Macaca mulatta: one gene and its partners. The protein of the gene in region 1 purifies or fractionates together with the protein of each later gene. This does not show direct contact. Links are inferred from orthologs where the notes say so. Each region holds a gene or a part of one and is shown in the gene's direction. Other genes may lie near its edges.

Region 1 (3,925 bases):
CCTCCCAAAGTGCTGGGATTACAGGCATAAGCCACCACGCCCAGCTAGTTTTGTATTTTTAGTAGAGACAGTTTCACCATGTTGGCCAGGCTGGTCTTTATTTTTATTTTTGAGACCGAGTCTTGCTCTTGTCACTCAGGCTGGAGTGCAGTGGTACAATATTTTGTTTTGTTTTGTTTTGTTTCTGTTTTTGTTTTTGTTTTTTTTTTGAGACGGAGTCTCGCTCTGTGGCCCAGGCTGGAGTGCAGTGGCCGGATCTCAGCTCACTGTAAGCTCCGCCTCCCGGGTTTACGCCATTCTCCTGCCTCAGCCTCCCGAGTAGCTGGGACTACAGGCGCCCGCCACCTCGCCCGGCTAGTTTTTTTTTGTATTTTTTAGTAGAGACGGGGTTTCACCGTGTTAGCCAGGATGGTCTCGATCTCCTGACCTCGTGATCCGCCCGTCTCGGCCTCCCAAAGTGCTGGGATTACAGGCTTGAGCCACCGTGCCCGGCCTTTTTTTTTTTTTTTGAGATAGAGTCTCGCTCTGTCTTCTGGGCTGGAGTGCAGTGGTGCCATCTCGGGTTACCGCAACCTCTGCCTTCTGGGTTCAAGCGATTCTCCTGCTTTAGCCTCCTGAGTAGCTGGGATTACAGGCACGTGCCACCATGCCCAGCTAATTTTTGTATTTTTAGTAGAGACGGGGTTTCACCATGTTGGTCAGGCTGGTCTCGAACTCCTGACCTCGTGATCCTTGGCCTTCCAAAGTGCTGGGATTACAGGTGTGAGCTACCGCGCCTGGCTATTTTCCTTTTTCTAAAAATCTAGCTCCTGCAGGATTCTGTGGGTTTTTGTTTCTGCTATCTGGTTGCTTGTTTTTAATGTGGGAATTCAGATAGACATAAAAACTCTAGGGCTGGGCACAGTGGCTCACGCCTGTAATCCCAGCACTTTGGGAGGCCAAGGTGGGCGGATCACCTGAGGTCAGGAGTTTGAGACCAGCCTGTCTAACATGGGGAAACCACGTCCCTACTAAAAATACAAAAAAATTAGCCGGGTGTGGTGGTGGGCACCTATAATCCCAGCTACTTGGGAGACCGAGGCAGGAGAATAGCTTGAACCCAGGAGGCAGAGGTTGCAGTAAGGTGAGATCGTGCCACTGCACTCCAGCCTGGGCGACGGAGCGGGACTCAGTCTCGAAAAAAGAAAAAAAACTGCAGCCACTGTCATCTGCCCAGAATCTCCCCAGCACTCTCAGCTTCCTTGTTTCTTATTGTCGGCCCCCTCCCTTTCCTTCTTTTGCCCCTTTCATCATACTTTTGCTATTTACCTTTTCCTTCTCTCCTAATCCAAACCTTTCTTTTTGCCCTGGGGGCCATATAAATCCAAGGCTTTTGTATCAGATTAACTGGGTTTGGATTCCTGCCCCACTGTTGTAGGATCTTTGCTATAGTACTTTGCTTCTGCTAAGCCTCAGTTTCCTTATTAGTATAGTGGGGATAATAATGGCATTAAATAAGATGATACATGCAAAGCCCTTAATGGAGAGTCCAGGACATACTTAATTGTCAGTTTCCAGCAGCTGCCTTTATTGATGTGGCTGCTAATTGCTCTTCCTCACTCCATACCTGGCCCTGTCCTGGGCTCTGATTCAGTTTCATGTGGCCACCTTGCTCTTCTGGCTTTCTTGGCGCCCCACCCCCCTGCTGTGGCTTCATTCTGGGTGGGTAAGTGGCTGGGGCCGCCTGGCTTGAGCCGGACAGTGGCATTGTGTCTTCCAGGATCGACTGCGGGCCACCTGCACACTCTCAGGGAACCGGGACACCCTCTGGCATCTCTTCAGTACCCTTCAGCGGCGGCCCGGCTGGGTTGAGTCCTTCATTGCGGCGCTGAGGGACTGTGAGCTAGCTGATCTCGCGGACGAAGTGGCCTGTGTCTACCAGAGCTACCAGCCTCGTAAGTGTCCTGCCCTGGCCCTCCTCCTGGACCCCTGGCCTGCTCCCTGGCCTCTGCTCTCCCTTCCCCTCTCCCTGTACCTCCTGCCTTTCTCTGTCATCCTCTTTTTCATCACTGTGAAGCGATGGATAAACCTGGGTGTAGATCCAGGCTGAGCCACTTACCAGCTGTGTCCTTTTGGCCAAGTCCCTTAATTTCCCTGAGCCTCAGGCCTCTCCTCTGTAAAATGAAGTTCATGGCAGCATCTGCCGCGGGGGGCTGCAGTGGGTGATACCGCAGGACGATGCGTGTTGAGTACTGAGCTGGGCTAGGCACTTCCTGTATGCCCAGCACATGGGGTCTCCTCTAACTTTCATGGCTGTAGCGTTCGCCTCCCACCCTTCCTCATTTCTTCTCCCCCACCTACTCATTCATCCTCCCTCTCTCCACCTTCTCTTCCCGTCCCCTGGTTTACCTTGAGAGCCTTCAACGCCCTCTACCAACTACCCAGTTATTCCTTAAGTCCCTCTCAGTGTCCCTGCCACTCTGAGTGCTTGGAGGGGATCTGGTGAGATTGAGTTTGATCCTGAGTGAGATCAAGACATGGGAAGAGGCTGGGCGCGGGGTGTCACGCCTGTAATCCAGAACTTTGGGAGGCTGAAGCAGGCAGGTCATGAGGTCAGGAGATGGAGACCATCCTGGCTAAAACGATGAAACCCTGTCTCTACTAAAAATACAAAAAATTAGCCGGGCGTGTTGTCCCAGCTACTCGGGAGGCTGAGGCAGGAGAATTGCTTGAACCAGGGAGGCAGAGGTTGCAGTAAGCCAAGATCGCACCACTGCACTCCAGCCTGGGCGACAGCGAGACTCCATCTCAAAAAAAAAAAAAAAAAAGAAAAGACTTGGGAAGAAAAATCAAGCCAGCCCTATTTATATTTCAAACTAGAGGTAACCCCCGAGACCCTGGTCACATTTATAGCTGTGGGACATCCATGTTTATCTTTTCTTTCTCTTTCTCCTTTTTTTTTTCCCCCCTTTTAGAGACAGAGTCTTGCTCTGTCACCCAGGCTGGAGTGCAGTGGTATAATCATAGCTCACCGCAGCCTTGACCTCCTGGGCTCAAGTGATCCTTCTACCTCAGCCTCCAGAGTAGCTGGGACTACAGGCATGGGCAACTATACCTGGCTAATTTTTAAATTTTTTTTAGAGATGAGGTCTCACTATGTTGCCCAGGCTGGTCTCGAACTCCTGGGCTGAAGCGATCGGCCTCCCAGAGTGCTGGGATCATAGGTGTGAGCCACCGCGTCTGGCTCTCATGCTTACTTTTCTTTCCTTTTTCTCTTCCTCGCTTTTCCTCCCTCCCTCCCTCCCTTCCTCCCCTCCTCTCTTCCTGTTTTTCCTTCCTTCTTTTTAAATGTGACTCTTCATGTGTGGAGATTAATAGTTCTTCCCCTCGCTGGGTGCAGTGGCTCACACCTGTAATCCCAGCACTTTGGGAGGCCAAGGCAGGCAGATCACAAGGTCAGGAGTTCGAGACCAGCCTGGCCAATATGGTGAAACCCCATCTCTACTAAAAATACAAAAAAATTAGCTGGGCGTGGTGGTGCAAGCCTGTAATCCCAGCTACTTGGGAGGCTGAGGCAGGAGAATTGCTTAAACTGGGGAGGTGGAGGTTGCAGTGAACTGAGATTGTGTCATTGTACTCCAGCCTGGACAACAGTGAGACTCCGCCTCAAAAAAAAAAAAAAAAAGAGAAAAAAATAGTGACCCCCTGAATACAATACAATGGCTGTGGTAGGGCCTGATGAGGGGTGGTGGCAAAGGGGAGGGGCTGAGGCAGCAGCATCAGGGCAGGGGTCAGTGAGCAATGACAGTCATGGGGAGGAGAAAGCCACTGGGTCCCAGGATGCCTGGGGACAGAGAAGAGTGACTGCTGACATGGTGTGGGTGGCTAGAGGCCTACGAGGCCTCCTCCACACTCCCCCTCCTTCCTTGCTACCTTGTCCTCCAAC
Region 2 (3,925 bases), on another chromosome or scaffold:
TGAAGGGACTACAGGCACATGCCACCATGCCTGGCTAATTTTTTTTTTTATTAAAAAATTTTTTTGCCGGGTGCAGTGGCTCACGCCTATAATCCCAGCACTTTGGGAGGCCGAGGTGGGTAGATCACGAGGTCAGGAGGTCGAGACCATCCTGGCTAACACGGTGAAACCCCGTCTCCACTAAAAATACAAAAACTTAGCTGGGCATGGTGGCGGGCGCCTGTAGTCCCAGCTGCTCAGGAGGCTGAGTTAGGAGAATGGCGTGAACCCAGGAGGCAGAGCTTGCAGTGAGCAGAGATTGCGCCACTGCACTCCAGCCTGGGCGACAGAGCGAAACTCTGTCTCAAAAAAAAAAATTTTTTTTCGATAGAGATAGTGTCTGGCTATATTGGCCAGGCTGGTCTAGAACTCCCGGGCTCAAGTGATCCTCCTGCTTCGACCTCCCTAAGTGCTGGGATTACAGGCATGAGCCACTGCACCGGGCCTATGGAGGCTTTGAAGGAGGAAAGACCTTGGCACTGTGTTTTTTTTTTGTTTGGTTTTTTTGTTGTTGTTGTTTTTTGTTTTTTTTTGTTTTTTTTGTTTTTTTTGTTGAGACGGAGTCTCACTCTGTCACCCAGGCTGGAGTGCAGTGGCGCGATCTCGGCTCACTGCAAGCTCCGCCTCCCGGGTTTACGCCATTCTCCTGCCTCAGCCTCCCGAGTAGCTGGGACTACAGGCGCCGCCACCACGCCCGGCTAGTTTTTTGTATTTTTTATTAGAGATGGGGTTTCACCGTGTTAGCCAGGATGGTCTTGATCTCCTGACCTCATGATCCGCCCGTCTCGGCCTCCCAAAGTGCTGGGATTACAGGCTTGAGCCACCGCGCCCGGCCTGACCTTGGCACTGTTAAGATGAAAAAAGCCAAAAAGGCAGGAGCATAGTGAGTGGGGCCAAGAGGCTTGTGATGAAGGCATTGTAGTTGGCAGGGCCCAGATCACACAAGACCTTAAAGCAGTAGGAGCTGCATCAATCGTAGCTGCTGAGACAACAATGATGTTGAAGATGGTGATGTATTTGTGACACCTAGCCTGGTCCCAAACTAAGTGTGTAATACATGCTAATTCCTTCTTACCACCTCCTGGGTTTGAAAATGTATCAGGGTGTTTGGGAAAGAGAAAGAAGTTCCTAATGTCTGCAGCACATGAGACAGGTGTTGAGATATGACCCTGGGAAAGTCAAATTAGGGCCAAATTATTAAAAGTTTTGGGCCGGGTGCAGTGGCTTATGCCTATAATCCTAGCACTTTGGGGGCCTAGGCTAGGGAGCCCAGGAGTTCAAGACCAGCTTAGGTGACACAGCAAGACCCCATCTCTAGTTTTAAAAATCATTTCATATTCCAGGCTAAATGTTTGGAGTTTGCCACATAGGCAGTGGAAGGTGTCGCAGCAGGGGAGTAGCATGATCAGACAAATTATGCTAAGTTCACGGGGAGACCACAGGGCTGGAGCAGTCACAGGGGTGTACCTTAAGCTGAGCCTTGAAGGCTGAACAGGCATGTGGAAGGCCACAGTGACCCTCCCCTGCTTCTTTTTCAGGTGGTTCCACGAGTGTTTGGGCGCATGGTGGGTAAAAGCCGGGAGGCGGTGGCCCAGGCCATGGTGCTGGAGATGTTCCGAGAGGAGGACTATTACAATGATGATGTTCTGGACCAGATGGGCGCCAGTATCCTAGGCGTGGAGGGCCCCCGGCGCCACCCAGATGAGCCTCCTGAGGATGAAGTCTTCGAGCTCTTCCCCATATTCATGGGGGGGCTTCTCTCTGCCCACAACCGAGCTGTGCTAGCTCAGCTTGGCTGCCCCATCAAGAACCTGGATGCCCTGGAGAATGCCCAGGCCATCAAGAAGAAGCTGGGCAAGCTGGGCCGGCAGGTGCTACCCCCGTCGGAGCTCCTTGACCACCTCTTCTTCCACTACGAGTTCCAGAACCAGCGCTTCTCCGCCGAGGTGCTCAGCTCCCTTCGTCAGCTCAACTTGGCAGGTGTGCGTATGACACCCGTCAAGTGCACAGTGGTGGCATCTGTGCTGGGCAGCGGAAGGCATGCCCTGGATGAGGTGAATTTGGCCTCCTGCCAGCTAGACCCTGCTGGGCTGCGCACACTCATGCCTGTCTTACTGCGTGCCCGGAAACTGGGGTAAGGACCTATCCTCATGCACAGGCATGAAGAGGGTTGGAGGTGAAGCAGTGGGAAGAGAAAGTGCCAGGGAAACCAGAGGTACTGATGAATGACCAGATGAAGAAATCTAGTTTGGGCGGAGGAGACAGGAGCAGCAGAAGGGAGGAGCCAGCCCTGGTGGCTCCTGCTTGTAATCCCACTGCTTTGGGAAGACAAGGCAGAAGCATCACTTGAGCCTAGTAGTTTGAGACCATCCTGGGCAACATAGCAAGACCCTGTCTCTACAAAAGAATTTAAAAATTAGTCAGGTGTGGTGGCATGTGGCTATCATCCCAGCTACTCAGGAGGCTGAGATGGGAGGATTGCTTGAGCCCAGGTGTCTGAGGCTGCAGTGAGTTGTGATCATGCCATTGTGCTCCAACCTGGGTGACAGAGTGAGACCCTGTCTCTCAAAAAAGGGGAGGCAGGTATGGATTCCCAGAGGCAGGCTGATGAAAAAAGGTCATGGTAGATGGACAGACTGCTTGCTGAATTCCCTCCCTGGTCTCTCACCTCCCCTCTGGCCACCTTCTGCTCCAGCTTGCAACTCAACAGCCTGGGCCCTGAGGCCTGCAAGGACCTCCGAGACCTGCTGCTACATGACCAGTGCCAAATTACCACACTGCGGTGAGTGCCCTGGGAGTGGGGCATCCTGGTGGCCAGCTAAGGTCAAGGGTGAGTTCCCTGCCTCCTGGCATACTTGGCACAGGCCCGTCCAAGGGATAGTAAATGGAGGTGGGTCTAGGCCCTGACTGGTCCCCTCCACTTCCCCTAGGTCTACTGCAAGCAGCGGGGCAGCAGGGAAAGATGCCACCTGTAATGGGTGCTAAGAAACCTCTCACGTGGCTAAAAACAGCCTGGGGGAGGCAGGGAGAGAGGGTGGAATAATACCTAGGCCAGTTGCCTGGTAACAGTGCCACTGATCCCCTTCCAGGATTTTTCCTGCAGCTTCCTGAGGATGACCCTAATGCTGGGCACTCAGTAGACACCCCTGAAGTGTTGACTGATACATGGGGAACCCGAGCACCTGGGTTCCGAGTTTCTGGTTGGTGTAAGGGGAGGCAAATGAGGAGAGAAAAAGGAAGAACAGGGAGAAGGATACAGGAGTCAGAGGGAAGGGAGAAGCAGAGGCTGTGGAGGGGGTGAAAAAGGCAGAAGAAGGGAAACAGAAATGGTGAGGAGGAAGGGAATAGATAAGAAGGGGGTCGGGGGAAGAGGGAAGGAAAGGCCAGCTCCCCTACTCTCCCTCCTCTGCCAGGCACCACACCCCCTATTGCTCTACCCTTTCTCCTGGGCCTGCATTTCTATGTCCAGGCTCCTCTTGCCCCAAGCAGGGCCCTCTTTGGCCCACGTCCTGACACCCAGCACAGCGCGCTGCCCCATCAAGGCTGCCAGCACCACCAGCAACCTTGCCTCCCCCTCCTCTCAATGGGCCCTCATAACCTTGGGTTGCACGTGGCCGTAGGCTGTCCAACAACCCGCTGATGGCGGCAGGTGTTGCCCTGCTGATGGAGGGGCTGGCAGGAAACACCTCAGTGACACACCTGTCCCTGCTGCACACCGGCCTTGGGGACGAAGGTCTGGAGCTGCTGGCTGCCCAGCTGGATCGCAACCGGCAGCTGCAGGAGCTGAACGTGGCTTACAATGGTGCTGGTGACACAGCGGCCCTGGCCCTGGCCAGAGCTGCCCGGGAGCACCCTTCCCTGGAACTGCTGCAGTGAGTCCTGTCCC
Region 3 (3,516 bases), on another chromosome or scaffold:
TTTTAATAAAAATAACACCTGGAGTCACTATATAATGCAATTGGGGTTCCATTGGTTGACAGCTCTTCTGTGTACCTCTCTATGTGCCTAGAACTGTGCCAGATTGTAGGACAGAAGACACTTTACAAAGGATTCCCTCAACATCAGCTCAGTGCGGTGGAAGGAACCTGCCCTTTGGGGCTTAAGAGAAGCAGTTTCACATCCTGATTCTAGGACTTCTCATAGCACGGAAAAGTCTCATGATATCTCTCTCAGCCCGATACTGGTTTTTAAATTAAGATGATAGTATTTTCCTTGAAAGTTAAAAAGGAAATTAAATTAGGAAGTATGTGTAACAGCACAGCATGGTAACTGAAACAGTGGGTACTAAACGAAGTGAATCTTTTTCCAAAACACGAGTGTACAAAGCTGAACAGGTAATAAATATGCTTTACCATCATTGCTTATAATGATGAAAATTTTTCCAATGCCTAAATGACTGATAACAGGGGATTGGCCACAGAAGTGATGCACATGCATAGCATGGAATATGGTAGCAGCCACTGGCAATCATGACATTCACTGACTTGAACAAACATTCACACCTTATTTGATTAAAAAAGAGAGAGCAAAATCTATTAGCTGGGCGTGGTGGCCGGCGCCTGTAGTCCCACTACTCGGGAGGCTGAGGCAGGAGAATGGCGTGAACCCGGGAGGCGGAGCTTGCAGTGAGCTGAGACTGCGCCACTGCACTCCAGCCTGGGCGACAGAGCAAGACTCCGTCCAAAAAAAAAAAAAAAAGCCAAATCTGTGAATCCTCCAGTCACATTTGTGAAAGGATAAACAGCAGTAGTTCCCTAGTGGAGATTTCAAGCCCTTCTCTCCCTACTTCACCTTCCCCTGCCAATGAGAATGCCTCTGATTGCAGATGGGTACCCCGCGGCTAGCTCCTCCAGTGCCTTCTCAGTCCCGGGCGGCATTGCAGTGGTGAAACAGGAGCTCCTGAAAGATGTGCTGGAAGGCTGTAACTATCGGGTCAACAACAGCTTGGACCGTAGGTTCGAACCACTGCCCGTGGGGGTGATCATCAGTTCTGCCAAGGAGTTGGTTGGTCAGAAGATGAAGTACAGTATTGTGAGCAGGAACTGTGAACACTTTGTCACCAAGCTGAGATATGGCAGGTCCCACTGTCAACAGGTAAGGATCTCTCTGGATAATCCATCTCCCCTGGGGAGGTCTGCTTGGGGCTGGACTCACTGGGCTATGCAACCAGGCGATCACCGTGAATGATGCAAACGCAGCCTCTTGGACACCCACTGACTGAGAGTCAGGACCTCTGAGCTCCAATGCCAGATCTGCTTCTAATCCACAGAGGGTCTTTGGACAGGTCCCTTCCCCTCCAGGCCTCTCCATGTGCAGAGTGGGTGGATGGAGGACCTCTGAGGATCCTTCCCCTCTAAACCCTATCCTGAAAATGACTCCTGAAGTTCTAGGGGTCATCAGGAGAATCTGGGCCAACCCAGGACCGTGACAGGTCCCACAACCCCCCAAAGAGCACTTAGGCAAGGGACGCTCAGGGTCCATGGACCTGTGTAAGAGCTCAAGGACATTTGTGTGTAAGATCTGCAGCCTCCATCCCTTGCCTCTTCATAGTCTTTCACATTTGTTGCCCCAAAACACACAACTAATAAGTGGCAGAACCAGGATTGAAACCCCGGCTGTCCTTTCTAGAGTCTGTGCCTGTGATGCCTGCCGTGTAGCAGCTCAGGGCCCCTGGCCTGCGGGACTGAATGGATGCGCGTCCTTGATGAGATGGGGATGATGGCAGGAGGAGAGGCTTTGGGGAGGGAAATCGAGAGTTTGGCGTGGCATGTGATGTCTGAGGTGCCCATTAGAGGCCCAGGTGGAGATAAGGCATGGAGTTGGAGTTTAGGCTGAAGTAGAGCTGGAGATGGAAGTTTCCAGGCTGCAGTTGGGAATAGTACACAGTGACCCCAGGGCACGCATATGGCCATGGCCTCCCTAAGTCTCCCCTCAGCTTCTGCCACAGCCCTCCCTGTGCAACGGTGTAGCTCAAGGAGGACTCAGACTGCAAAACAGTCCCCAGTCTGGCCTCTGGAGCTCTGGCCCTAGGAAGTGAGGCACAAACCTTCTTCCTCGCCGCAAATCCGAACAAATGTCCTCACCTGGAAGCTCTCTCAAAAGGATCTCATGGGCACATTCTAAGGACAAGCCCAGATAAACCCAACACCAAGAAGTGGTCACAGCCCAGAAAATGGAGTCCCTGGGGATACAGCCAACGGCTTCTCTGGGAGAGGATTCTGAGCCAGTCAGCTGGGAGAGAAAAGAGGAGATGCCAGGCCGTAGGGGAGGCAGGAGAGAGGGGAGACGGGGAGGAGTTCCAGGCCCTTGGGAGGGAGAAAGTGCCAGCCTGGCTTGCTGCGAACGCTCAACAAAAGCTGCTTGCTTTGCAGGTGGAAAATGCCGCGGCTGAAGTCGGTGCGTTCGCGATGATTGGAGCGGCTGTTGCTGGATGCTCTTTTGCGATTATGAAATACCAAAAGTGACAGCCTGAAGCAGCCACAAAATCCTGTATTAGAAGCAGATGTGGGGGTCCCAGTGGAGATGTGGGGGTCCCAGGCCTCCCCCACACCTCCAGCAGCCTGACCCTCGTGCTCTGTCTCAGGCTCTCTCTAGATCCTTTCCTCTGTTTCCTTCTCTCGCTGGTGAAAGTATGATCTAATTGAAATAAGATTGAAGGATCAATAAACAGCCATCTGTCCCTTCAGAAAGGAATTCTACCATGTTTTTATAGACTTCTGAATCACAAAGGAGGAAAGCAACATTGAGTGAACACCCACTGGATAGTTCCAGCAATTTCCAGCTGGGTGACTTTGGAGAAGGCTGTTGATTCTCTGAAACTCATTTCTTCCATGTCAGGTGATGTCAGGAGGATCACCTAAGATAATGCATACACGGCACCCAGCCCCATGTCTGGTACGTAACAGATGTTCAGTGAATTATCTTTATCATTCTACACAGACATAACATTGACGTAATTGCATGTCATTAATTTTACTCTCAGGGAGGTAAAAAAAAAAACTTAATTACCTCCCGGTATAGTCTCATGTGGTGCTTAAATCCACTCACAACACCTACGCATCTACCAGCATCTTCCCCGTTCCCTTCCTCAACTGGCCCTCTTTTTAGAAAGTTTTTTGTTTTTTTTTTTTTTAGCTCAAAGGTCTGAGTTCTCACCAACCTGTGACTACTAGATGGAGTAATATTCTTTCCAAGCCCAAATTGCCATGGCTCAAGCTGGTCCTGTGTGGAATGCTGAGAATTAGCTACCTCTAAATCTCCCTCCACTACTTCCAGCATGCCCTGGGTGTGGCTCCGGAAGTGCCCAGCTCCCCATGTTTCTGTGCTTCCTCACTCCAGCCTCTACCACCAGTGACCCTACTCAGTGGCCGCTTCCATGGTGGTCACTGCAGCCACCACCACTCTGCCTTCAGGACTGAGGACATCACCCTCCCC

The links.
Region 2: the proteins of MAVS (region 1) and NLRX1 purify together in Homo sapiens (affinity purification with western blotting; 4 studies listed by BioGRID and IntAct, with this or other methods). This does not show direct contact. The link is inferred for Macaca mulatta from reciprocal best matches to the Homo sapiens genes MAVS and NLRX1.
Region 3: the proteins of MAVS (region 1) and PLAAT4 purify together in Homo sapiens (affinity purification with western blotting; 4 studies listed by BioGRID). This does not show direct contact. The link is inferred for Macaca mulatta from reciprocal best matches to the Homo sapiens genes MAVS and PLAAT4.

Annotation. Positions count from the first base shown.
Region 1 is NC_133415.1:80,208,414-80,212,338, reverse strand, and holds part of MAVS (mitochondrial antiviral-signaling protein), read left to right. Parts: intron 1-1,759; coding exon 1,760-1,934; intron 1,935-3,925.
Region 2 is NC_133419.1:119,868,104-119,872,028, forward strand, and holds part of NLRX1 (NLR family member X1), read left to right. Parts: intron 1-1,577; coding exon 1,578-2,173; intron 2,174-2,734; coding exon 2,735-2,821; exon of another isoform or gene 2,822-2,869; intron 2,870-3,659; coding exon 3,660-3,911; intron 3,912-3,925.
Region 3 is NC_133419.1:10,876,977-10,880,492, reverse strand, and holds the end of PLAAT4 (phospholipase A and acyltransferase 4), read left to right. Parts: intron 1-907; coding exon 908-1,176; intron 1,177-2,453; coding exon 2,454-2,546; 3' UTR 2,547-2,771; downstream 2,772-3,516. UniProt on the Homo sapiens protein: Exhibits both phospholipase A1/2 and acyltransferase activities. Shows phospholipase A1 (PLA1) and A2 (PLA2), catalyzing the calcium-independent release of fatty acids from the sn-1 or sn-2 position of glycerophospholipids.